2 linked regions of the Styela clava genome follow. The protein of the gene in region 1 interacts with the protein of each later gene in a pairwise test. Links are inferred from orthologs where the notes say so. Each region holds a gene or a part of one and is shown in the gene's direction. Other genes may lie near its edges. The genes, in order: programmed cell death protein 2-like and small ribosomal subunit protein uS5.

What was found.
Region 2: the proteins of programmed cell death protein 2-like (region 1) and small ribosomal subunit protein uS5 interact in a two-hybrid assay, tested with the Drosophila melanogaster proteins (2 studies listed by BioGRID). The link is inferred for Styela clava from reciprocal best matches to the Drosophila melanogaster genes Zfrp8 and RpS2.

Annotation. Positions count from the first base shown.
Region 1 is NC_135264.1:14,423,130-14,436,085, reverse strand, and holds programmed cell death protein 2-like, read left to right. Parts: upstream 1-6,890; 5' UTR 6,891-6,961; coding exon 6,962-7,059; intron 7,060-7,692; coding exon 7,693-8,692; 3' UTR 8,693-9,312; downstream 9,313-12,956. Other genes in the region: RING finger protein unkempt homolog, read left to right, coding at 473-862, 1,137-2,760; uncharacterized protein LOC120333673, read left to right, coding at 9,340-9,614, 10,412-10,561, 12,730-12,956.
Region 2 is NC_135259.1:5,040,251-5,053,599, forward strand, and holds small ribosomal subunit protein uS5, read left to right. Parts: upstream 1-7,503; 5' UTR 7,504-7,521; intron 7,522-7,812; 5' UTR 7,813-7,813; coding exon 7,814-8,146; intron 8,147-9,137; coding exon 9,138-9,311; intron 9,312-9,883; coding exon 9,884-10,043; intron 10,044-10,358; coding exon 10,359-10,522; 3' UTR 10,523-10,910; downstream 10,911-13,349. UniProt on the Drosophila melanogaster protein: Component of the ribosome, a large ribonucleoprotein complex responsible for the synthesis of proteins in the cell.

The DNA of each region.
Region 1 (12,956 bases):
ATTGTATCAATAATATACTTTTTAATACTAACTTTTAGCTGAGCATTGTTAATACTTTTTTTTCTGCATCTTTGACCTCAAATAATAAAGTGATATAATGTGTTATATTATTTTCCTATTCTAATAATTGTCCAAATTCAAAGTCTGGGTCTCGTGAAATAAATGTTGTAACTGCCTAAATAACACCAAACAAAAACGTGATGTGAAAATACAACCCAAATAAAAGTCTGTCTGAGAATTGACCGGGTTTGATTTGAACTAAACACGTGTTTCAAGAATCTTTCTGTGTCATAATTTATATATTATAGACTTTTTAAATGATACGTCAAAATTTCACATCACAATTTTGTTTGGCGTCATTCAAGCATTTACAGTGTTTACTTCACTAGACCCCAACTTTCTAAACCCTATATGGAGCAGTCAGTGCCATACATATGAATATTTTCAATCCAAATTGTTTTTATTTGTTCAGAAACACTGGAGACACGGAACGAAGATATCATTTACGATATTATAAAACTGGAACATGTATACATGAGACTGATTCAAGAGGAAACTGCGTTAAAAATGGTCCGCACTGTGCTTTTGCACATGGTGCACCTGATTTAAGGCCCCCAGTGTACGATGTACGTGAAATGGAAAAACCCGACCCTGCCCAGAGAGCGGAACCTATTGAGCAATGTAATCTATCAGAAAAAATTATCAACGATGATCCGAAATGGCAGGATGGGAATTACGTTTTAGCAAATTATAAAACTGAGCCATGCCGAAGGCCACCCAGGCTTTGTAGACAAGGTTACGCTTGTCCGCAATTTCATAATCCCAAGGATAGAAGAAGAAATCCTAAAAAATATAAATACAGGTGAGTTTGAATTTATACAACTTTCAATTATATTACACTTCTACTGCTAGAATGAATGAATCTATGAATGGTGTATGTAATTCCTTTTTTCAGAAGGGACTCTATTGGCAGTTGGACACTTTGTAAAACTCTGGTCATGAGTCATGACATTTGCTACTTGTGTTTAATACGTACAGAATTTCGATTGAAAGGTGTTGTCCAAAAGTGGTGTGTGTTCACTTACCTAAAATATATATTCCTTAAATATCACATATGCTTGTTTTTGTTTTTATAGGTCTAGTCCTTGTCCCAATGTGAAACAAGGAGATGATTGGAAGGATCCATCCTCATGTGATAAAGGAGATAATTGTCAGTTCTGTCACACTCGTACGGAACAACAATTCCATCCGGAAATTTACAAAAGTACAAAGTGTCACGATATGTTACAAAATGGTTACTGCCCTCGGGGACCGTTCTGTGCTTTTGCCCATGTTCATACAGAAATAAGAGTCTTAGAAGATGTGGATTTAAATAATTTGCCACCAGGAGTACAAGTCTTGTCTCCCAACAGCCTAAGTCCTCAAAGTTCCGGACCACAAGATGGGGGTATTGCTCCATCAGAGCCAAAAGCTGTTCCTAGTAATGCACCAGGAGCGGGGCGGCCTCAAGCTCCGAATGATCTACGTTTTTCTGCGTCTTTTGAATCGACAAAAAATGTTTGGAATAGTGATAGCCCCACAATCGGAGGGATACCGGCGCCATTTTCATTGCCTGATCGTCATCAACAGCAATCTTTATTTCAATCCCCACAGAGTCCTTTGGATTCTGTTTCGAACAACACGTTTCCATCATGCCCTTCACCAATCGCCAAACCGAACTGGCTTTCTAGCAGCCTTGGAAAAGGGGAAGGATATTTGAAAGCACCAGGATCGGGAAGAGGGGAATTTCAAGCTCAAAGTCTCGGCGGTCTTGCGAGTAGTCCCTTCTCATGGGGAGGCGGTTCCATGAGCTCGCATTTGATTGGTCGAAATAGTTTGTCAAGTACGGAATCGTCTCCGAAATCTCTAAATAGATTAAGGTTACTGAATTGTGAGGCGAAACCGTTTTATCCTCCTGATGAAACCGTCGATTCCGTAATTGGAAATGCCCTGGATGATTTTGAAGGTCATGATTTATTGGATAATAAATCAGGACCCAGTTCTGCGAGTAAACTTTGGCCTGATCCGATAGGGTCCGGACGAAATGATAATTCCTCATTTTTTACGATGTCTGCTCCAGTGAATATTCCTCAGGAAATGAGAATGTCGCAACGAAATCCGTTACCCACTCCATCACCACCTAGTGGAGCAAATCAGACCTCATTTTATGGGAGTCTCGACGCTGTTGGTGGAAGAGGTAGTTACGCTGGTTCTCTCCCATCGATAGGACGCCCCCCTAGTTCATCGGGATTCAGCAGTAAAGAAGGATTTTCAGGATCAGTTTCCGGGAATGACAGCGCTCTCATGGAGTTAGATAGAATGCAAAGAAAATGCAAACAATGGGAAGAAAGCTGGAATCAAGCGAAAACTGCGTGTGACGCATGGAAAAAAGAAGCGACAGAGGCGAACGAAAGAGCAAGGATCGCTCAAGAATCAGCTAAAAAGAATTTGGAAAACGCTCAAAGTTATGAACATGAGTTACAAAAAGCAAATGATGAAATCGCAATTCTAGCTGAGGACGTACAAAACAGGGAAAACTCAAAAAATATTCAAAAATGTATGTTTTTACACAGAGCTCAAAAAACTACTATGCTTAAACAAAGCTCTGTGAAAGATTTAAAAGAACTTCGTACAAAACTTAAATCAGATTTAGATTCCGTAGACAAAGTTTTATGGGAATCCTACGGGATTCATTGCGAAGAAGGATGGGTTAAAAAATGACTTGCAACAGACTGAAAAAAATAATTTTTTTAAAATAAAAACTGAAACAAATGAAATTTATCATTCTTGTTATTAATATTATAACCGATTTATTAACTTTTAACCTAATTTTGGATTATAGAGGAGAGTCTAGTTCGATATAATTTTTTGTTTGTTTTAGATGTGTTTAGATGTAAAATTAATACTGATTTATTTTTAAGTGCGGGCATACTTGACTCATATGTAATTTAGGGTATCAGACACAACGTGAGCCATGTTCTAGCTGGCACACACCTTTTCGAAACCAGCATGCCTCCTATATTAAGATTATAAGACAATTATTTTTTTATACTGTAAATTTTAACATTGCAGTTTCAATAGGTTCCATTTCTACTTATCAATTTGTGTTTTCTCTGTTTTACTTTTCAAAACAGAGCTTGGGGAACTGTTCAAGTTACTAGTGTTTTAAGATAAAAAAGTTTTCAAAGACTACTATTTCTGGATTCTATTTCAACGCTCGGCTATTAATATTTGTCGATTGTTATCTGACTATTTTTCCTCGGAACAAGACCTAGTACAGGAAGCCAATATACATAGATATTGTTTTGAAATATTTTAGTCGACTTTCGGGATGTCCTAGGAATTAAGTCAATTTCATGTGAAAATTTCAGACATCTTATTAGGACAGTGGTTCTCAAACTTTTTAAGCTGCACCCCCTTTTTATAATTTATCAAGTCTCGTGCCCCATCTAAAAAATAACTAGCTAACAATAAGCTATAGATAATAGGCGAAAGTAAGTTTTATTCAAAAAGCATATTGAAGATACGTGGACGGAACGTAAATATCCAGAATAAAGAAATGTAACTATCTAAAATAAAACGGCAAGATCCAATTTAACGAATATTTTTATTTGTGATTAGATTCAAACCCCCTCAAAAAATTGTCTACACCGGGGGTCTCTAACTTAATTTACCTAGGGGCCACTGGGGGCAGAGTCTGGGTGGATCAGGGCCACATCAGGTTTTAAACAATAAAAATTTGTGGGGTGCGCCCCATCTTTTGAGAACCACTGTATTAGAATATAGAAACATCTATCTATATCAATTCCTACATTCTACAATTCCATGGTACATAAACTACTCAGCCAATTTGTGTTGAATTAATTTATATGTGAATATTCTCAAGACAGGCAAATGAATTTATACAAACTACTATACAGGGAGTTTATAAAGTCTTTCAAATTTTAAAATTTTGAAGGAAAATCATAGATATGTATGGTTTGTGGGCGCACATAGGTGTATTAAATGAAGTAAATAAAACTAAATAAGCACTGATAAAAATAAACCTGTATAGGACATACTGAGAATTGACTTCACAATGAAATTGAAATCGTGAAAGGACTTTGTATATCCATCACTTTGCTACTGCATGCTGGGGAAACAACAAAACTATTTTTATGAGTCTCACCTAATGTATATTTATTTTAAGAACCTTATTTCAAAATGTGGATTTATTTTTTCATATGGTGCTGTTGAAAATGTTGTTTAATCTACTAAGAAATTTAAGTGTTTTCATGAATTACAAAAATAGTCCAATTTACGGTTATGAATTCTTATTCAATTTCTGTAAATCTTCTGTTAATTTTACCATTTTTGAGCAGTGTGATTTTGGTGTTTTATGGCGATTTTTAGAGTTTATCTATGATCATGTTTGGTCCAGTTTCTAGAAGTAGTCGATTTTACGAGGCCATATTTGATCTGTAATAAACTTTTTATATACCTGTTGACCTTTCACCCCTAGAAATTCATTTTCATTTAAGGTGTATTATTCTTTGCCAGACTGAAAGGTTTTTGTGGTTGTGCTGCTTCAGCAAAACTAAACCAAAAATCTAAATTATTTTCAATCTCTTGCATTAGAAACGAAATTAGATTGACTAGGATAAAATTTCATGCCAAATGTAATTCCAAAGAAAAAATGGTAAATTTATCTTTTCTTGGAAGTGGGCCGAAACACTTTTAATACAATTTAATCAGATATTTCAGCTTTGAAATTTTATAACTCAGATTGCCTTGTAAAATTGTTAGGAATAGCCGGAAGATTCGATTACAACAATTCAAATTGATCTTATTTGACGAAGGTGTTTTTTTGCAGCTCAAAAATAATCAAATTTGCTGTGAAATTATCGAATTCAACAGGGAATTAGCAGTTGTATCTAAAGTGTGATATGTCGGTAATAGTTCGGGAATAACAAATTGCAGACATGGAGTGGAATATATGGGTTGTAATTGTAATGTACAAATATTTCTTCTATACTGTACTCTTATAATGGAATTATTTACTTTTCTTTATTAATCGTGAAATGCAAACTAGCTAATTCGCTGATTATCAGTTTTTATCAGCAAAAACACCTTTCTGTTTGTCAGACAAATATATTTTTGTGCGACAATTGGTGTCTTATTGGTATGAGTTGAATATCTTCCCCTATTTCGTTTTTTATCCCAATTTTGAGGTACAAGATGTCTTTACTGATATTTTGGCGCTCCCGAAGTATGTGTACCAAGATGGCGCACAACCTGAACCACAACCTGGTACCCGTACTATGTTGAGGTTGTGCGCCATCTCTGATATTTGTGCCCAGTCAGTAATGTGCTTGTGAATATATCGCTTCATCATACTGCTGCTTGTGATTAGGATAGGATTTACATACTCATCCTGGGGGAGATAAACATGCTAAGACGACTTAATCATATGGCAAACCACGGCCTCTCATCCGGTTATCAGTCCGTGTTGGGTATGGAATTAGTTGGCCAATTATTTTCATCCCAGGTGCATGGGCCTTGATACTTGAAATGACTATCATAGATATCGGGACTGTCATGTCGTATTTGCTACATGAAGTAAGTTTTATTTCGTGTTCCAGGGCTAAATGGTGCTGTCCCAGTATCGGAGTCAAAGATATTTGTAACCCTCTATCGAATCTCGTAACTTCCCGGGTTAGATTGCAAATTCTCCAGACTTCCTGAGTTTTTACTAATTTCCCGGATTCGTTCCGTTTCAAACGATAAATGATATGATTTCGTATTTATCCCGATGGAAAGGTTAGTTAGTAGATAAGATTACTTGATAATGCGGCAAACCATCGTCTCTCGTTCGGTTGGCTGTCCATGTTGGCCATTGTAATATTACTTGACAGGTATGTTTCGTTAAGAATGCACAGCATTGCTAGCGGAGGAGGCTGTAATTTACCACGGGTTGAAAGACTAAGGATAGGCTACAGTGCGACGTCGAACTGCCATGTTTAGGTGATGTATCTAAAAGGCGCGGCGGCGTGGCTCAACGGGCTAAGCGTTAGGAATACGCTCGCCACCGCACCTCTAATTACTCTGCGTGTGTTCGCAGGTTCGAATCCCATGCAGGATGGTTATGTGCGAGAGGATTGCTGGACTCCTCGCCGTCGTTGGATGGTTCACGGAACCGCTGGTCGGTTACGGCTTCCTCCACCACTAAGTCCATGCAAACAATATAACTAATCCCATACCCACTTGAAATGGTAACCGGACGAGAGACCGTGGTTCGCCATATGGATAAGCCGTTTTATCGGCTTTCCTCTCCCCTGGGATATATATATATGTAAATCCAATCCTAAATGTGATAGATTCATCTTCACTTGCGTAAAGTGGCATTCCACACATGTAAACCCGCTAAGACTACATTAGGTATAATAAAATAGCTAATTAATATTGGGTTATCGTAAAAAAAAATTCTGAGGGCAAAATGTGAAGCCCATGGTATTATAATTTTCCCTCTAGAGATACAGCGAACGATATTATGTGATATGTAATATATGTACCACATTTAAACGTATATATAGTTTGCGCATTTACTCTCTAATGAACAGAATATGTCTGCGCATATGCCAAAATAAAATGAAAGAAAGTTACCGTTTAATGCGTTTATAAATATGTTAAATTTGGTGCCAGAGGTAGGGGTATGAAGCAAAATTCAAACGACTTTTTCGTCGGTTCAATATGGTATTTAGAAAGTCATCTCATATAATGACAGACAGTAAAAAACATTCTAAAAAATTTTAAGGTCCGTTTGCGCGAACCTACATTACCGCGAAATTGATTCATCAGCAAACACGGTGATTCACTTTCAGTCATTCATTCGTAACCGCCGCGCCGACGACTTCATTGATAATGTTGTTTGGGTTTTGTTGCAATGGAATCTGATCAAAGCAGTCAGGGTTCATCCTCGACGGGAATTGAACTTGGATTTTTAAAAAATATCGATCACGAAGACTTTTGGAGACTATATAGGTTTGTAATTTTACGAATTTGCAATATTATGTTTAACATTTTAGATAAGTTAATCGAAATTGGAAATTGCAGAAATGTAAAATTTGATAGTTCGATTGTGAAATAATTATTTATGTGTACGACGGATTAAGATTGGCCTATATCACTTCTGGTTATCTATTTATAATCTACTAGCATATCAGAATTCTGCTTCAAATTACTTCATATATATTTTTAAACAATACAATTTATTTCGGCATTCTGAAAACAATGAAATGAACAAAACATAGAATAAAGTTTATGATGCGGGTGTGCTCGTTCACCAAAATTAACACAAATAAAAATACTTACATCATAAAAAAAAGACTCGATGAGCAGCAGTGAGAGGATTCTCGGGCATTTTATGTTGAAGAAAAGTGAGTCACACGGGTTGAAAAAAACAACGATAAAGTTGATAGTGTGTCGGACACAAACGTGTTTTGGTCAAATCAACGCACTGACGCATGTATTTATGCGTTCGAATTCTATAACGGTAAGACGTGACCGCGCCATACTATTACATCACTCAACCTAGCTACCTATATCAGCTGGCAAGAATAACTATATAATAATTGGTTTATTAACTTATTTAATAATATTTTTTTTAATTTCAAGATGCTACTTTCCTAGCAAACTGGGAGGAAAACCTGCCTGGTTGGACCCAAAGAACTTGCCTTCAACAGAAGAACTGAAATGCCCATCTTGTGGAAAACCAACAATATTCCTTCTTCAAATTTATGCTCCAAATGAAAACCTGGATGACGCTTTCCACAGAACTATATTTCTATTCTGTTGCAAAACACCTTCTTGTTATTCCACAAACTCGAATGGTCCTTTTCGCGTTTTCCGATGTCAGTTAAAAAAAGAAAATGCGTTTTACAGCTCTGAACCTCCAGACTACGATTCAAGAACATTTTCCCAGTCTTGCATGAGCTACGAAAATTTATGTAATATTTGTGGAAACAAAGGAGATAAATTATGCTCTAAATGCAAACTTGTTGCATATTGTAGCCGAGAACATCAAGTTTTAGGCTGGAAAAGTCATAAGGTGAAATGTGGCAACCTTGGAAGTGATTCTGATGGAGAAAATGAAAGTTCTTTAAAACTTCTCTACCCTGAAAATGAAATTATAATAGAAGCGGAAGGAATTTTAGACGACTTGGACGACATTAAAGAAAATGGTGTTAATGAGGATTACGAATCTGAAAATGTTTCTCAAAATCGAAGCTTTTCTCCGAGAGAATTAGAGCAATTTGCAGATTATAGTATTGAAGATAATCAATTTGCAGTTTTCAGAAAAACAATATCAAATTCATCGGATCAAATATTGAGATATGATAAGGGCGGCCAACCTTTATGGTGTTCTGACGAAAACAAAATGTTGTCTGAAAAGGTCCCGAAATGTGAGAATTGTGGATCTGTACGTCAATTTGAATTCCAAATTATGCCGCAACTTCTGAATCATCTGAATTTAGAGTCGAGTTTAGATGGTCCGTGCATAGATTGGGGGATATTGGCAATATATACTTGCTCTAATGATTGTGTGTCTGAAAGTATCAGTTACATTCCTGATTATATTCATAAACAGGATTTTTCACATAATGTTGGAGATTGATATTAGAGTTAAATTACAGGAAAGATTTCCTATTTTTCAGTTCGTTTTTAGTTTATGGAATTTTTTTGGTGCTTTTCCGATTTGAGTTTTGTTTAAAATTTGTTTGGTGTTTTAGTAAAATGCAGAATAATAAAATTAGGTGTTGTTTTTATGGCAAAATCATATTTGTTATGTATATTATAGTAGAATTGAATATATAGAATGATTTTTGCTGAAAAATGATCTATTTAAATATTATTTAAAAACTATGATTAATTGAAGGATTCTATAGAAATAGCAAATTTTTGGAAAATATTAAATTTTGATATGGGAATTTTTTTAAGACTTCAATTGCTAAAAATGATAATTTTTCAATTAAAACCATCTTAATTTAATTCTATAATAAAATAATTAGAATATTGAATAAAATTAATGCAAACTAATTTGCTTATTTGATCGATGTGGACGTCCATACTGTCCATGTGTTCAATAATCAATCCCACTAAGTTATAATACTAGTTTTTTTGATATAATTTGGTCTGTTTTTGAGTTTTAGTTCCATTTACTCAACTGACTTTCAAAGAACTGGAAAGAGCTTGAGAGCATTGCCTGAGTTTGACCAATTTATATTTCTTTTACAGCGTAGGCTATATAATTTAGTGTTAGTTATGTCAGTGGTCTTATTCATTATAGCTACAATCGTTGGATACTATTTATACGATCTATACATCCAAGATTTAAGACAAAGTGAAAAGGACTCTAATTCATCTCGAAGCTCGAGTATAGTGGCAGAAAATACTTGCACCATTCCCGGGTGTAATTGTCAAAATAATGGTGGATTTTTTCGATCATTGTTTAAAAGTTGGAATAATAATTATCACGATCCACACGCCTTGATTCATGAGAAACCATCACCATTTCAATTCCGTGCCTTCGAAGACAGGTTTGTTGTTATTTCCAAATTTTATTCAAATATAAGTATTAAGCCTTCTATCTGGTGGTGAAATAGAGAACGATTACTCTCCTTTTAATTTTATTACATCTCTGCGTTTGTATGTGTGTGATGTAATAATTCATTTTTAAGCGGTTGAACACTTCTTTTGGCAACACCTTTCAATTCAAAATTTGTTTGTTTTATATATTACTTATAGTTTAGGTTCTCTCCCGATTCTGTAATCAGTTTATTTTATTTATTTTTATCAATTATTTTTTCGTCTGTTATGTTGATTATGGAGTCAAAATACACTTATAACTTAACTTATACTTATACAACAGGTTATAATCCTGACATGTATGATGCCCAACATGATTTAGTCCTATGTCTTCTGCAGAAGTTAACCAGTAATATATTAGCTTAGTCATTGAGTCAATGATTATGCCTTGAGTGCATATTCTGAATAAAATTGATATTGTAGATCTCTGGTATTTATTTTAGAAAAAGTTCATTTTCAGTCTTATTATTAAATTGGTGTTGTGCTGATCTGAAAAGACTTTGGTTCTTTGAATTTTGATTATCCTTCCATCCCATGTCATACAACCTAGGCTGTAACAAAGGTGTGAAAAATTTTCATGAAAAAATACAGGGAAAATCATTTTAACATATAAAATAAGGGGGGGGGGGGGGAAGGCTCATCGGCATAACAAGACTTTCAGTTTCAATAACATAGAAATCTGACTTCAAATTAGTGCTGACCTCATTTCTCATTGGAATCTCGACTTTTCAACCATTTTTATTCTCAGATTCAAATCGCTTGAAGATGTAACTCAAGCCATCAAAGAAGCAGGCTTAGAAGAATGTCGACTTATACTAGGAATAGATTTTACAGCCAGCAATGAATGGCAAGGACGATCCACTAATAAAGGACATTCCCTTCACCATGTCAGCTCCAGGTAATATTGTTCAATCAATTAAAATATATATATTAAATTATCAGTAGAAGTTGTGCAGGACTAACTCCAAATCCTTCCTCAATGCCTAGTGCAGTGGTTCTCAACCTTTTTTCTTTTGTTGCATAAAAATTTTTTGGTCCAATAAACCTCAACTATAAAAAATAAATGTTTCGTCCGACCAAAATCAAACTTCCTCAGACAAACAGTTTTTGTTATAAACTGTTTGTTTGTGGAAGTGTTAGTGTGCAGCAGGACTCTTCAAATTTCATAGTAAACATCAAATATTTCAATATTTTCCCGAGTTGTGAATATGATGTTTGTGCTTTATTTTTGTCTTTCACTCTGCAGTGACATATGTATTAAGTGCTGGAAATATAGGCAACATAAATTTTCTTATACTAATATAGTGTTTCAAACTAGTTATTGAATGTAGAAGGAAATTATAACTGACTTGAGTTCTTATTCAATGCTGGAGAATTATAAAAAAACGCGGATTTGTTGTCATTTTTCTACGCAAATAATAGATATTTTTTGAAAATATAAATTTTTTTCTTTGTATTACCATTGTAAAACTAACAGCCTATCGATCGCCCTGAAGAAAATTATAGACAAACGTTGATTTAGGGTCAATTTTCTACTCATATAATAGGCATTTCCTTGAAAATATAAACCTTTTTCTTTGCATTACTATTGTAAAGCCAGCCTATCAATTGCTCTGGTAACTGGAAACCATTAAAATGAATATAAAGTGCTTTCGTAGAAAATTAATGAATTACTTGTATTGACCAATTAAACTTATTTCACAACTCTGTAATAATTATTTATAACTATCAGTAGAGGTTTCGCGAGACTAAATCCCAATCCTTTTTCAATGCCTTTGCGCTAGTGGATCCATATGCGTATAATGCAAGGATGCTGTAGTAGGAAAATGCCATAATATGCAATTCAAGCAAGAGTCCTGCTGCACACTAACACAAAGATCTTTCTGTAACGTTTCGTCTGACCTGACCTGAATATATTTGTGTTAGTGGGCATCAGGACTCTTGATAATTCTTAAGCCTGCAAAAATGTTATTGTATTAGTAGGGAAATCCGGAATGAAATGAAGATTTGAATCAATTCATGATTAATAATGTTCAATACTTTCTTACAATTTCAATACCACCTAAATTTTAAGAATAAATTTTTTGGTGATTTTTCATGGTTTTTACTTTGCAAAACTTTTCATGGTTTTTCACGGTAGAATTTCTGATACCATGAAAAATAAGAAAACCATTTTAAATTAGTCTGCACTTCATCAGTCTTGTTTGAGATGTGGGTACGGTATTTACTATATATACACTTTAAAATTGCAGAGGAAGCTTTAATCGACCAGCGGTTACTCGAATGACCCTGTATTAAGGAATGTTCCATCATTGTTTTATGCTTGTTAAACAGCAAACTATGAGCTCTTCCTACTATATTAGTATCATCAGAATTCCTGTTTGGTCTCTGTCATTTCCTCTCTTTGTTTTCATAACAAATAACGTGGGAGGTTTTAACAGGTTATGTCTACCTGTATGACCTTATTTATGTGATGACATATGAGGAAGTAATATAAGGAAGAAACACGATTTCTGATTATGCAAAATTTTGTTTAGAAAGATTTGAAAATCGAATAATTTAAAATTCTTATCTGTGGATATTTAGAGAAGCTAACTACTGTATCGTTTGCTCTAAACAAGGCCCTGTACAAGCCACCACTGATATTGTACGATTTGTAAATTAGAAGGAATTTTTCTGGTTTGGCATTACCTATGCAATTTGTTACACCCCAGGTTGAGTTGGCATGGGGCATGCTACTTGTACCTGAGAATGAGATCTGTGATGGCCAATGCCAACACAACTGCCTAAACTGCTAGGTTCTGCTAAATGTATTATTAAAATTATATACTGTCTTCTTCAACTGTAAATTGGTCGTCATGGCGATCTCGGTCGTACTTTGGCGACTCTGGGTATTAAACTTTGGCTCCCAACTTGCGACAAACAGGCGGATAGGCGGAGAGATAAAAAGTGTATGTGGTCCAGGAGAAAAAAAGTTTGAGAAACGCTGGTGTACTTCGATAACAATAAGGCCTAAATTGTGCTTAATTTATCTTGCACTTAGTAATAATCTCTCTAATATTACAGGTCCCACATTCAAAACCCTTATCAGCATGTAATCAGCATTCTGAATCGAACTTTGTTAGCCTTGATGACTCCTTATGGACATGATCCTTACGTAAACAACACACGCATGTCCGTCAGAAAACCGGCAAAATTACAGTGCATTCATGCATATGGTTTCGGGGATTCTCTCACAAAAGATAAATCAACTTTTTCGTTAAATCCGAGTCACGTGCCTTGTTCATCTTTTG
Region 2 (13,349 bases), on another chromosome or scaffold:
TATTGGACAGATCGATTTCAAATTTCCATTACTTAAACATGGTTGGAGCTGCCAGAAAGGCTTCTAAATCTTTTCCATGGTTAGATAACAGATTCCACTGCAAGTCAGTCGCAAAGACTACCGGCACTGTGGTTAGTCATTAGATCCTCATCCTCATGTTCATATTTTTGAGCATGAATGACTGGGCATGTGGGTCACAGAAACTTGGATAATATTCGAGTAAATTCCAGCTAGAAAAGTATCAACTTTCGATTGAGAAATCATGGCTTATATATATATAGAAAGTTCAGGAGTGTCAGTCTATTTTATTACATTTTAAGCTGCATTGTTTAAATTTAAGACATACTAGGAAAGTACCAATATTACTGCTGAGTCCATCGAATTATTGAGGTCGGTATGTTGATAACAGTTCATAAAAACATAAAGTAGTGTATTTTCGCAGTTGCAATCGAAGCAACAACTTTTTCTGATGACTCAAGATCGATGCATTCGTAGTAGTGTCTGTCACCCGTCACCTCAAAAATATTGTTGACTAGCACAGTGCGTACTGCAGTAAAACAGACAGGCCCAAGTAGATTGTGAATTAATCTTCTATGTCCATACGAAGTTGGTGGGTGTCATTTGCTTCTTCTTCAACTCTTTCAGCGATGGCGAGCTCAATATATCGAATCCCAATACTCTTCATCCCCGACTGCACAATGCTCAAATATATTTACAAGTTTACTGGCAACAAAATATTAATTTATATTCATCAATTGAGCAGAAAGGTAATATTCGATCAATGTGTTGGTAATAGCCATGGGAATATATTACACGTGTTTTCAGAATTTTTCTTTATTTTCCAATTTACATGATGGTGGTGTTCAATTATTGAAATGGCGTTCGTTCTTTTTCTAGTTTACTAAGCAATGTAATCAGTAGTGTATTAATTCGTCGTGTTGTAGTAATGCTATGAAAGTATTTCTAAATAAACAGAGGTATGGTTATACAGTCCACTCCGCCAATTGAACGTCTGTGTGGTGAGGGACTCGCTTAGGGGCTGTCTTATAGACATTTTGATTTTGATTCTAGACCACACAAATGTGTACTGATAGTCCGGTGTTCGGAGTCGGAAGCTTGTTCTATCATATGATTTCAATGCCTCTTCTAGTCCAACATTTCTTAACCAGGGTTAAATTTACACATGAGATAAACATTGGTACTCGAGTTTATGAAACAAACGCGCGAAAAAACGTATTCGTTGTTTTTCAAACGCCAATATATGCGGGAAAAGAATATATGGCAAAGTAGTAGTTCTCTATATATGAAATAAAACCTTTTGCGTCCACTTTGGCTCGTGCACCTCTAAAAGGGAACGGCTCTAAGAAGACATCTTGAGAGATATTAACAGTTCAATTGTTTTTTCATAAGCGTTGTAACAGCATTGCTGCCAGTATCTGCATACTGGTATACTAGTAACTATAGTATAGGGCCGATTTTATCAAATTGGGCCATCGCACCTTGAAAAGGCCAGTAATTAAGGCTTATGTCAAGTTTGAACACCTGGTAGAAAACAATAGATTTACAACATTTCCTAATGTTTTCATTGCGTTGAGGATTTATTTAACGATGCCAATAACTGTTACATCAGGAGAAAAAAGCTTTTCAAAGCTGAAACTAATTAAAACATACTTGAGGTGTGCGGTCTCACAAGAAAGACTAAACAGTTTGTCAATGCTTTCTATAGAAAGCAAGATAGCAAAAGCTATTGATTTTGAAATTGAAGCCGGTTTGCCATTTTTGGCTTTTTTCAAACGCGTTTGGCGTCAGAATTTCCGTTTGGCTTTTTGGCGTTTTTTTGGCTTTTTCAAGTCTATTCTAGTGTCTATTAATAAAATCATATGAAATACAATATTTAGTGTGTAACAACTGAACAATAGCCTATTACCTGTAGCCTACTTAGCTACTTAACATTAGGATTTCCTGGAGCATCGATTTCCTTGTTTGTTACTTTAACTCTTAACCATACCCAATAAGAAATAAGTGCAGTTTCTGCAGCTGCTCAGACAGATGTTCAAGCAGGGTTGGAAACATCGCCTCGTTTTTATAGTTTTGCGTGTTATTTGTCAGTTTACGTTCTGTTTCCAAAAAATAGTTGTAGGCCTATAACTCAATTTTCATTATGCCTGATATGGTTTATGTGGCTTTTTCTGGCTTTTTTTATGTCCTGATTCGGCTTTTTGTGATCGCTGGGGTCTGACAACCCTGGTCGTAAGTTGTTTTCTCTCTGTTTAGACTTTAGAGGTCTTTTGTTCTGAACTGAGTTGAGGAACAGACGTCCAAATAAATCGCGTGCAGTTTTGTAATGAGTCTGTGTTCATTACTTGTTATAAAGATATAACATATGCTTTTTCCATAATTCGTGACTTATGGGGTAATAAAAAAATATGGACCTGTGGATCAGTGACTTCGCTATCTGCTGTCTATATAATGATGTGTTACATCTCATAATTTTAACTTGTATTTTTCTGTAAAATGACAAAGATTGAGGTATTGACTTTTCACTATTACAGAAGGTGGATTTGTCATCGTGATAAATGTATGATCGTATGAAACAAGAAGGGCAATGCGAAGAAGAAGTCTACCCTACCTTCTAAAGTACAGCTACATCCAAAAAGCTTCCGACTTTCGCGGAGCAAGAGAGTAGCACGCGAGAGGTTGAGGAACCGCTACAAACAATTTGTATTCATTTTAAAGATTTCATCACACAAAATTTTGTAGTAAAAAACGAATCACATAGAGCCCACAGAAAATTTTGAAATTAATAAAGTTATAGCCTTCTAGCGATAAAATATATTGCACTGAGAATTTTAAAGCAATTGATCCAGTAGTTAATGAGAAAAGAAATTTTCCCATACGGTAACAACTAACAACCAGTGGAAAAATACCAACAAGAACAACAACCTAATAAAAACGATCCAATAATGCGATAAAATTACATCGTATTTTGGTTTTGTCGTGGTGAAGTAAGACATAAAATTACAATTAGAGATAGTGCGCATGTAGTAGGCCTACTGTGTATGAGTATTGATGCAGTATGTATGTATGTACACGCTTGAAAATAAGCAAAGTTTCAAACTTCAGAAACAACTCCGGATTGATCCATAAACGCAACCTACACAAATATTACAGAAAACAGACATATATTGTTTGCCGGATAAATTTTAAGACGACTTTAGACTGAAACCTTACAATTTTCATAGCACGGAAAAGTTGGAGCTAGTTCTAACAATAATTAAGTTCAGTAAAACATGTGGCACGTTTCTTACTGATTTAGTTTAATTACTTTCCGAACAATAAAAACAAATGGATGTAATATTCTGAAAAAGTAATCATGTGTTATACTGATTATGGATTCAAAATACTGTTATACTTACCTATTTAGAATAGTACGGTGGGAAAAGATAGATTCTGGGGTTATGTATGATAGATAGATTTATTGATTTGTCCTCCAAAAACAAATAAACGGAGTGAAAAATACAATAAACAGACCTGATGTTTTCTGGTAAAGATTGGAGGGGGCGATACTAGTACGACAATACAGTCAACTTATGTTATGCATATATAGGGTTCACAGTTCATTGGGTGACTATATGAAAGTATTGAAGACTTTTATTAGATTACGAAAAGATAAACAAGCATAAATTCAACAAACAAATAATATTTGAGTTACAGGTTGATGATCTCAGGTTTAACCCCTGTGTTCACCACTTCACCCTGACTGAAAATTTATATATAAATTTAAAGGAGTCTACGCGTTTAATACTATACATATATATTAAAAATATTGAATGGGGTTTTGGAGAGTTAATCAGGTTACCGTCGTGATATGAAGAATTTTATATATATAATATGATTCGGATATAATGATTGCATAAGTAAACTCAGGCCGACTATAGATATCTAATTCATTATAGGATGAAGAAAAGCAAGGATTAAAATATTGCATATAAAATAAAAAGATTTTTATTCTGTTTCTCTCAGACATGTTTTTCGGTCACATATTTGAAAACCTTTACTGATGCTCAACGGCAAAGATATTGAAATAGTGAGTGAAATAAAATACTTAGGAGTTATCCTTGATGAAAATCACTTTTGGAAATAACAAATTGCACATGTTATTGCTAGAACAAAAATGAATTTGGCAGTAGCTGCCAAGGTTTTTGAGTATGTCAATTAATCAACTTTACTAGCAATGTTTTAATCATCATTACTCAGCCACATCCGACACTGTTGCTTAGTCTGGCTCCATGAAAACAAAAAACTCGTCTCGAAATTGCATAGTATTTGTAATAATTTTTTAAGAATTGCTTTCGGGAAAAGAAGATGTGAAAATGTTGACCATTACTTCAAATACTTGTCAAATAGAGGAAGTAACCCCCAGCCGAAGAAGTAACTCCCGATTTGTTTCTACCCTGCATGAGCGAATATGTGAGCCAGCATTCCCAGTGTTTTACTCCATTCCCTGGACCCAAACTTCAGAATTGACTTATCTTGAATTTGGAGACGTTGAAGTACAAAAAACCTTTTCAAAAACAAGTTAAGTCGCTTCTAGGTCCCAAATATTAAAAATTACTGTTTCTAAACTAGATATATGGATATTGGCACATATATACATCATTTTTCTATGAAATTGATTACGATGTGTTGATAGTTTAAAGCAATCAAATATCAAACCTCGAGTAAAATGAGCTTCTTTTTGGTGCGCAATGACGAAAAGTTGGGACACTCCTCTTCCTCCTCGCTTGCACATTGTTATTTTAATGAGAATGTTGGGCAGCTACCAGCTATAATAATAATGTTATTGTCCCTGCAACTACTGGGTACTGTGATTAGGCGTGTTGTTGTGCTATTTTTAACCGCTTTCAAATTTTAATTAGTTTTGTTTTTAATCAAAGTCTGGTAGGGGAAGGTGGGGCACGTTGGGAATGGGGCACAGTGGAAAATCAACTCTCACACCGATACCATATCCGGTCCTCAGTTCGATGTTTCAATCCGCCCTTCGGTGAGTTACAACGTCCCCGCAAACGGACAACGGCCGGGTAGAGCGACGCAAGCTTTGACGTGAAATTGGATTTGGGGGGTTGAAACCAAAATTTCACTATTCTAGTTTTTTCTTTTTTCTACTTTAGCATTTCCAACGTGACAGGCCATGGTATGATATTTCTTAGTTTCAGCCTACTGTAGAATATTCATAACGTTGGCGAGTGGATATGCCTTCCGAATTTCCCCGTGGGATGGTCTGAAAGTATTTGTTTATTATGGGGAACAATGGACCGGGGTTCAGATGGGATGCCCTACATGGCACAATTCGACAGTGTTTGATACAATAAGTCCTTAGAGACCTACAGATGGGTCATATGTTGTGTAATATTATGGTATCTTTCGACCCATGGCCCAATATGGAATATATTCGAGAATCAAAAATATTTCCAGATTTAGATTTGAGAAAAAAAATAATTTAATTTGTTTGCTAAATATTTTGATACAATAGCTGAAATATTTCGGTTGAACATTGATTTTAAAAATCCTAAATCTTCAAATTTGAAGTCTTCCTGTTCTTTATTAGACGATTAGGATGATTGATTGCTTATTTTTAAAGGAATACATCGTTGCATTTTGACAGAATGACCCATTGTGCTCCATGGTTAGGCTTACCATACATCCCGCTTTAGGCGGGACAGTCCCGCTTTTCAGCGTTTTGTCCCGCCGTCCCGATAAGTCAGCCCAAAGTCCCGCTTTTCCAGCATAATACACAAACATGTTCTCGTTACTGTTGTTTCTTTGTAGCGCAGCGCTAGCCTACTTACTGAAGGCGAATGCGTTCGTTTCCCACTGATTCCCATTGATGGCAGACGTATCGCATGTAAAACCAATACTAATTAGTCTAAATTCGAATTATTTGTACCGGTATCGTTAACGTCAAGTCCTTCCTATTTTTCGAACTGAACCCGATATTTTGACAGAGAATATGCGCATGAAATTTCGATAACAATATGGTCAATAAAGACAGCCGAGACAGCTTTAAATGTAGGAATGTGGGCCTATGTAGTAAAATCGGAAAATGTGAAGTTATAAAATCACAGCTAAGGGGTCGTTGTCTTTCGGGGCGTCCCGATTTGAAGCCACAAAAATATGGTAACCCTACCCATGGTCTGTCCGAATGTGCCCCACAAGTGGGGTACAGTGGGACACTTAACAAACGTTTTTCAAAGCATTTTGGCAGTAAGATGTGCATCCACTGCATCGCAAGGAAATTTCTTAGTCGCTGAATAAAAACTACATTTACCCTCCTCTCCATTAGTCCCGCACAGTTAAGTGAATGTGCAAGATAAACGGCTAAAATACGCAAAAGAAAAAAGTGTCCCAACCTTCCCCACTTTCCCCTACAAAATATTCGTAGCGGGATATGTAATGCTATGTATGATTTATGGCGTGGTAATCGACATACTTGGTTAGATGGAATTTCTTCGAATAGCTGTTCACATTCTGACACTTGCATGTGCATGCTCCTAACCTCTCCCGTGATGTGAGATCATTCCTATTACGCATGCATGAATTTTCTTGTGTTTGAGTGGTGGTATTTCATGATGAGGGTTGTAGACAATATAATTTAGTTCCTGCAGAATTACTAATTAACTAAGCCAGCAGTCGAGCTATATTGGATTCTACCCTTTACATTTTAGTTTGCTGATGGTGATTTTAATTTGATGTGGTTTTCTATCTTTTATGTAAACATGCATTTTATGTTAAGGTAAGGTGTGAAGTTGACTTGGTGACCAAAGTGTATATAGTGTGCTATGATCAAAGTTGAGTGTTTTTGCATGGTGCAATAATTACTTCTGCGTCTCAAACAGTAATTCCTCCTGGAGCCTCCGACCCTTTTTACATAATGACTGATATTTAATGAACAATACCTCCTTAATTTCATTGGACAATTTCTTTGTCCCAAAACAATAGTTCACAATGTTACCTTATATGCACTCATTTGAACATGTACTCGGAGATTTATTTTTCATTTTTCAGGCTGCTTCGCAATGATCAAATAAAGTCTACACAGAAAACATTTACAAAGACTTTGATGAATCATCCACGTAATCCCAAAGTGATCCTGTGGAATAATAAACTTTATTCCAATATCCTCGTCTGAATTTGCTGTCTATAATTGGGGAAAAACCTATAATAAAACCCTTATAACCAATTTATTACCATGGAGTATAATTTGGCAATATTCGATTCTAACCTCCCATCTTATATATTCTGTTTGCTCTTTTGACGTCATATTTAGTTTTCATTTATTTGTTTTTATCAATTATTTTATCGCCTGTTATGGTGATTATGGAGTCGAAATAAACTGATATTTATAATTGAAATGCACGCTGGGATACTTTTGGAGACATAATTCCACGCATGGCTGACTACGTCACGTGGCCGCACGAGGCATAACAAAAATTTGACCAAAGTCTTTTTGATACCACACAAGTAAGTCTTGGTTGCTTCTGAATTTAATCTGCTATAATCTTGATATTTTCGACTTATTTTGGCCCGATCTCATAAAAAAAATGTGTTTTGTAGGATTGGAGTGAAATATTTCGTTTATTTGTTTAAAACCTCGGATAAATGTTGCAATTAGTACAACAAAATGATTTACTTTCGGCCAGCAATGGCGAACGATAGTTTTGAGGTAACTTTGGGACGTACCGGTACCGTATGTTTTTTTGGTTCATGTTATTTGTGGCTGGTATCAGGTAAACTATGTATTTCAATTTTTAGCATGGCGGACGCAGCACCAGCCAGTGGAGGAGGATTCCGTGGAGGTTTTGGAGGCCGTGGACGTGGCGGCAGAGGACGAGGCCGCGGAAGAGGTAGAGGACGCGGCAGGGGTCGTGGGAAAGATGACGAAAAGACCTGGACCCCGGTCACAAAGCTGGGTCGTTTGGTCAAAGATGGAAAGATCAAATCTCTTGAGGAAATCTATCTTTTCTCACTCCCAATCAAGGAGTTTGAGATCATTGATTATTTCCTTGGTAGCGCATTGAAGGATGAAGTTCTAAAAATCATGCCTGTTCAGAAACAAACCAGGGCTGGACAGAGAACAAGATTCAAGGTAATAATAAATATTTGGTGCTTCAATCAGATTTAACACTGGTTCTTGACCCTTTTTTAGTGTCGGAGACAAATTTCAAACCATAAAGTTGTAAGGAGTCACATAAAAAACAGCGTAATTTAAAACAGCTAACAAAAGTCAATTGTCACATTATCTATTTTCAATTTGAAAATACTTCTCTTTCTGATCACATTGAAACGCATGATTTTATTTTTAAAGAGTGCTATCTTTTTTGAGGATTTTTTGGACCTTTTGTCTTGGTATACTAACCAATAAATATTTTGTTCGAAAATACCTAGACTTTACACAGTGACTAAATATTATAAAGTTGCAAAGTTGCGCTCAAAATGACCTAACAGCTTCGATGACATCAATTCACAGTAGCTTTCGGAACTTGTCCTTCCAAAATGCTTTCACTTGGCTGTGAGCACTTATGCATTAACTGTCAGTGTGACTACTGCATGAAAAAAATATTATGCCCAGACTTTTCTTTTCATTAATGTGTATCCATTCTCTCATGCCTGATTTCTTGATTCCAAGATTCAGGAATTGTATTGACATGAGCTATTTGTTTTTCATCAATATGTATTTACTAACGATCAATTCGTCAATATAAGTTAATAGTCTTGCATAGTTTTTGGTATTTTTGTTTTCGCCTGTAACTTCACTCGTATATTATCATTTTTAATTTTTTAAATGAGTAAGCATAACCTTGCTTAGTTTTACTTAGAAATATTGACTTTAGTCGCATACAGATAGCGAGAAGACTCTTGACAGTTGACACAGTAGCCTATTTTTTCATGGCAGTCTTTTGTTTTTGCTTAATAATAACAGTAATATGATTAAACTACGTTTCGGTACAATAGAACTGAGATTTCTTCGAGTTTTAATAAATTCTTACATAAGTATGCTCTGTAAATAATAATTTTGTATTATTATTGATCAGGTCTACTAAACTTATTTGAAATTTAATTTCCAACCTATTTTTTAGGCATTTGTGGCAGTTGGTGACTTCCAAGGTCATGTCGGTCTAGGAGTGAAATGTTCCAAAGAAGTCGCTACAGCGATTCGTGGTGCTATCATCTTAGCTAAATTGTCTATCATCCCGATCAGGCGGGGTTATTGGGGAAACAAAATTGGAAAACCCCATACAGTACCATGCAAGGTATTGTAATTTCTATTTCGTGGTAATGATTTGTTTGGTTTCAGCAGTATTATTGTCTGTATAATAAAAAGCTGAATCTTGCAATATAAATGTAAATCTTTGTGTCAGATCATTTATACATATCAGCGATGATAATTTAATATACTTCTGCTAAATATTTGTCAATCTTAAAGCCAAGTGAAATCTGCGACAAATGCTAATGATGTTCAGAAAAATATTTGCTACTCTTGAAAATATTTGATGAGAAAAGCTGATCTGAAGCATTTGCCTGTAATGAGAAAATCCACTGTAGTTGATAGCAACTTTTTCCACCTAATGATACGAGCTGTACTTGACTTTTTTGTCTGAGTAAACATTGTACTCTTTGGCAGTGCACATCTTGTGTAGCTACTTTAAATGTTAAACCTACTGTCTATATGTCAGTCCAATAGTTCTCAAAAGAAATCATCAGAGATTGGGACTGTATATCTATCTCTACAAAGGCAAACATGAGATTGTAACCAACGTTTCTAGTTTTTAACTTTTGTAAATTGTCGCCCATACTCAAAATTGTAAATCGCACAATTTTTCAGGTTCATGGTAAGTGCGGTAGTGTCCATGTGAGACTCATTCCTGCACCTCGTGGTACTGGCATTGTCTCTGCACCTGTTCCAAAGAAACTGCTGCAGATGGCAGGGCTAGAGGACTGTTACACATCTGCCCGTGGACAGACTGCCACACTTGGAAATTTTGGTATGTTATTCTGTAATGCACGTCGCTTTATCTTTACTTTTACATATTGCATGGTTAGTTGAAGTAAAATTTTATGCCCTGGTGATACAACTTACATTATTAGCATACGTTCATGGAGTGCCATATCAAGTTAGGTGAAAGAACTTGATGTACATATAGAAAGTGTATTGAATGAGGTAAAAACTTGAATAAACACCAATTAAAATATGAATAACCTGGTCAAGATATATTGAGAACGGACTTCATAACAAAATTTTGAAATTATATTTGAAAAAAATGTAGCTGTCGAATAAACTTTGTGTGTTTCTATTTCAGCGAAAGCCACGTTCAACGCAATTTCAAAAACCTACAGCTATCTTACCCCTGATCTTTGGAAAGATCAACCTCTGGGAAAGACTCCGTATCAGGAATATACAGATCATTTGTCAAAACATCACATGCAGAGCGGAGTTCAACGCCAGGAAGTCAAGCAATATTAAAAACATTGCTACATGCTGTCAAGCTTGCTTGCAGCAGCTTGAGCTCATTTCGCTAAATTAATTAGCCAAATGGTGCTCACCAAATGCTAAAAAATATAAAAAAAACAGTTGGCTAGTCGCTTTTTCGTACCATTATCGCTAATTTACTTTTCTTTCAGTTCAACTGAGGTGACATCTAAATGTTTGATGGAACTTGCTCTTAATCATTTTAGTCCTTGTTTTGACATGGACAGTCGGATCTCTGTTAGTGGTGAAATGTTTTACTATCTTGTTCCTTTTATCTATCACTTTAATTGTGTTCTGTCTGTTAGTATGTTCCATCGTGCCACCATTTGTATGATTTGGTATTTTATCGATTGCTTTGCGACAATGAAATCAGCCATCTGAACTTCTTGTGATTATGGGAAGCGGACAGTGTGGGTTTAAGGCGCTCCTTGTTGGGCCCTGGTATCGTACCACGGTGAAGCTACAGTTTAAATAGTGAGATGTCAATGCGGTAAAATATCTAGTTGTAAAGCGTATTCTAGTTATATCAACTATATTGGGGTGGTAGGTAAAAAAATGAGGCACAGGTTGAAGGTCTGCTTCAGCGACCTAACCCCCGATAAAACGCCGCCTGTGCGTGCTGTGGAGATACGGGACGTTGAAGAAGTTCTCTGCTGAAAATCGGGAAACAACTCTGTCCTCTCATAAGACTACTGCTCGGTGTTACAACACCATTTTGTCGTGGTAAAAAACAAGGCATCTGAAAGTATAAGTTTATTTCGACTCCATAATCAGCATAACAATACATTTGACAGATAAAAACAAATAAATAAAAACTGATTATGAAATCAGGGGAGCAAACAAAACCTTAGATAAGGTTTATAACGTACAAAATATAAGATGGAAGGTTTTGCCAAGAGGAAGTGGTACGTGTTTACTCACCTAAAATTATTAAGTTATTTCACACACGCTCACATGCACCCACCAGCCACACACACACACACACAACCACTGAGAATTTATTTAAGTAAGAATAAAACGCGATAAATTTAGGGTATACTATACAGTAAACAAAAAAAAAAATAAATACTAGAAAAGAAAAAAAAATTTTCTGCCACACCATATTGATATTTTTGTAATGATTGCCATTGCCAAATTGATCGATCTTCTAATCGTTAATTAAGATATAAAAGGAAGATTCTATTGAAAACATATTGCCAAGCTGATTATAGTTGGAGTCAAATGCCAAGTTGCCCAACCAAAGTTGCCAGAATTGGGTGCATGAAGAGGTGGGCGAGACCATTTCATTCCCCAAATTAGAGCCTATTATTGCCAAATTATAGTCCAGATTGTAGTAAGTAATTAAAGTTACCGGTAACACTAAAATTACTATAATTAAGTAAAGTAGGATGTGGAAATAAATTGGTTACAAAGGGTGTAAGTGAGGTTTTTCATTCTTGGGTATTGATTTCAGACAAGGATATAGGAATGAGGTTGTTATTTCACAGGATATCGGAGTCTTTTTTTGATTTTTTTCTTATGTGTTTTACTTCATTTAATCACTATGAAGTAACCTGAAAAACAAAAAATAAAACCGCGAGTAGATGTTTCAATGATTGGGTGAAGGGGAACGCTCTGAACTATTTATTACAGGCAAAAAATAATTGTTTAATTAAATGGGATGTATTGTCATTATATAGCGATGGATAGACTGTACATGGAAAACCTGATTCATTCAATTCATTGTCTTTAGTTGATAATCATTCGTCCAACGAGACTTTTTTGGACCATCGCCGATATGTACCAAAGATGGGTGAATCGCAGGGCTGATATACAGCCATTTTTCAATATATTTATGGAGATCTAAACCATCGGATTTTGCTAAATATGACTCCAAAGCGAACAATTTACCTATGATCAATAGTGGACGCGGTATGTCAAGGCTGTTTATGTGGTTTCTCCATCTGGACGTAAAGGCTTCCCATCTGCTACCCATGCAAATGACTGCAGCCAATAGCAAAGGCATATATATTCTTGAGGGCCCTAAAAATGTGACGGCAAAATATTTTGAAAATCCCGCCATGGTTTTGCGGCAGCTTCAGACGGCACAAAATACTCAAAACTGCACTTGTTTCATCTGGTGATGTCTACAGCAGACGCTTCGACGAAATGGTCTCAGACTTTCCCTCCCAACAGAACGAAGTGACGACACATTTGTATAGTCGGGGAGCTTCGAAAATGCATTTTTCCAAGCTGTTGAGTTGCTCGATTTGAGTGATGGGATAGGAATCAACTTGAAAACCCTGATGAATATTTTTTTTGCACAAGACACCAATGCCACGCCATCAATGTAAGACCATGCAAACGATACCGCGATGCCATATCCACCTTTCTAGCTAGAATCTATTCTAGAGTTTAGAGCTGATCTGGGCAAACTGCGGCTCGCGGGCCAAATCCGGACTGAACAGCAGCCACAGAGGAAGTTCTAAGGAATTGCCACATGAAGGCTGCGGAAAGCTGGAACGAACCCTTTCGACAACTACATTCCTTGCAAATTGGAGATCACGTTCGAATCCAAACCCAAACTGGCACACATTCAAACAAATGGGATAAGACTTGGGTTGTCATTATTATGAGACAGTTCTATCAATACATGTTTAGTCACGCTGACGGGCAAAAAACGCTGACGGACAAAAAATTTATTAGGCGTTACATACCAATATATCCTAGGATGGCGGTGCCAAACTCGTGGGTTCTCGAGGGCCGCATTGCATTTTGGAAATTGTGCAAAAGGCCGCAAACAGTTTTTGATGTATTTTGATAATGTATACTTGAAGCATAT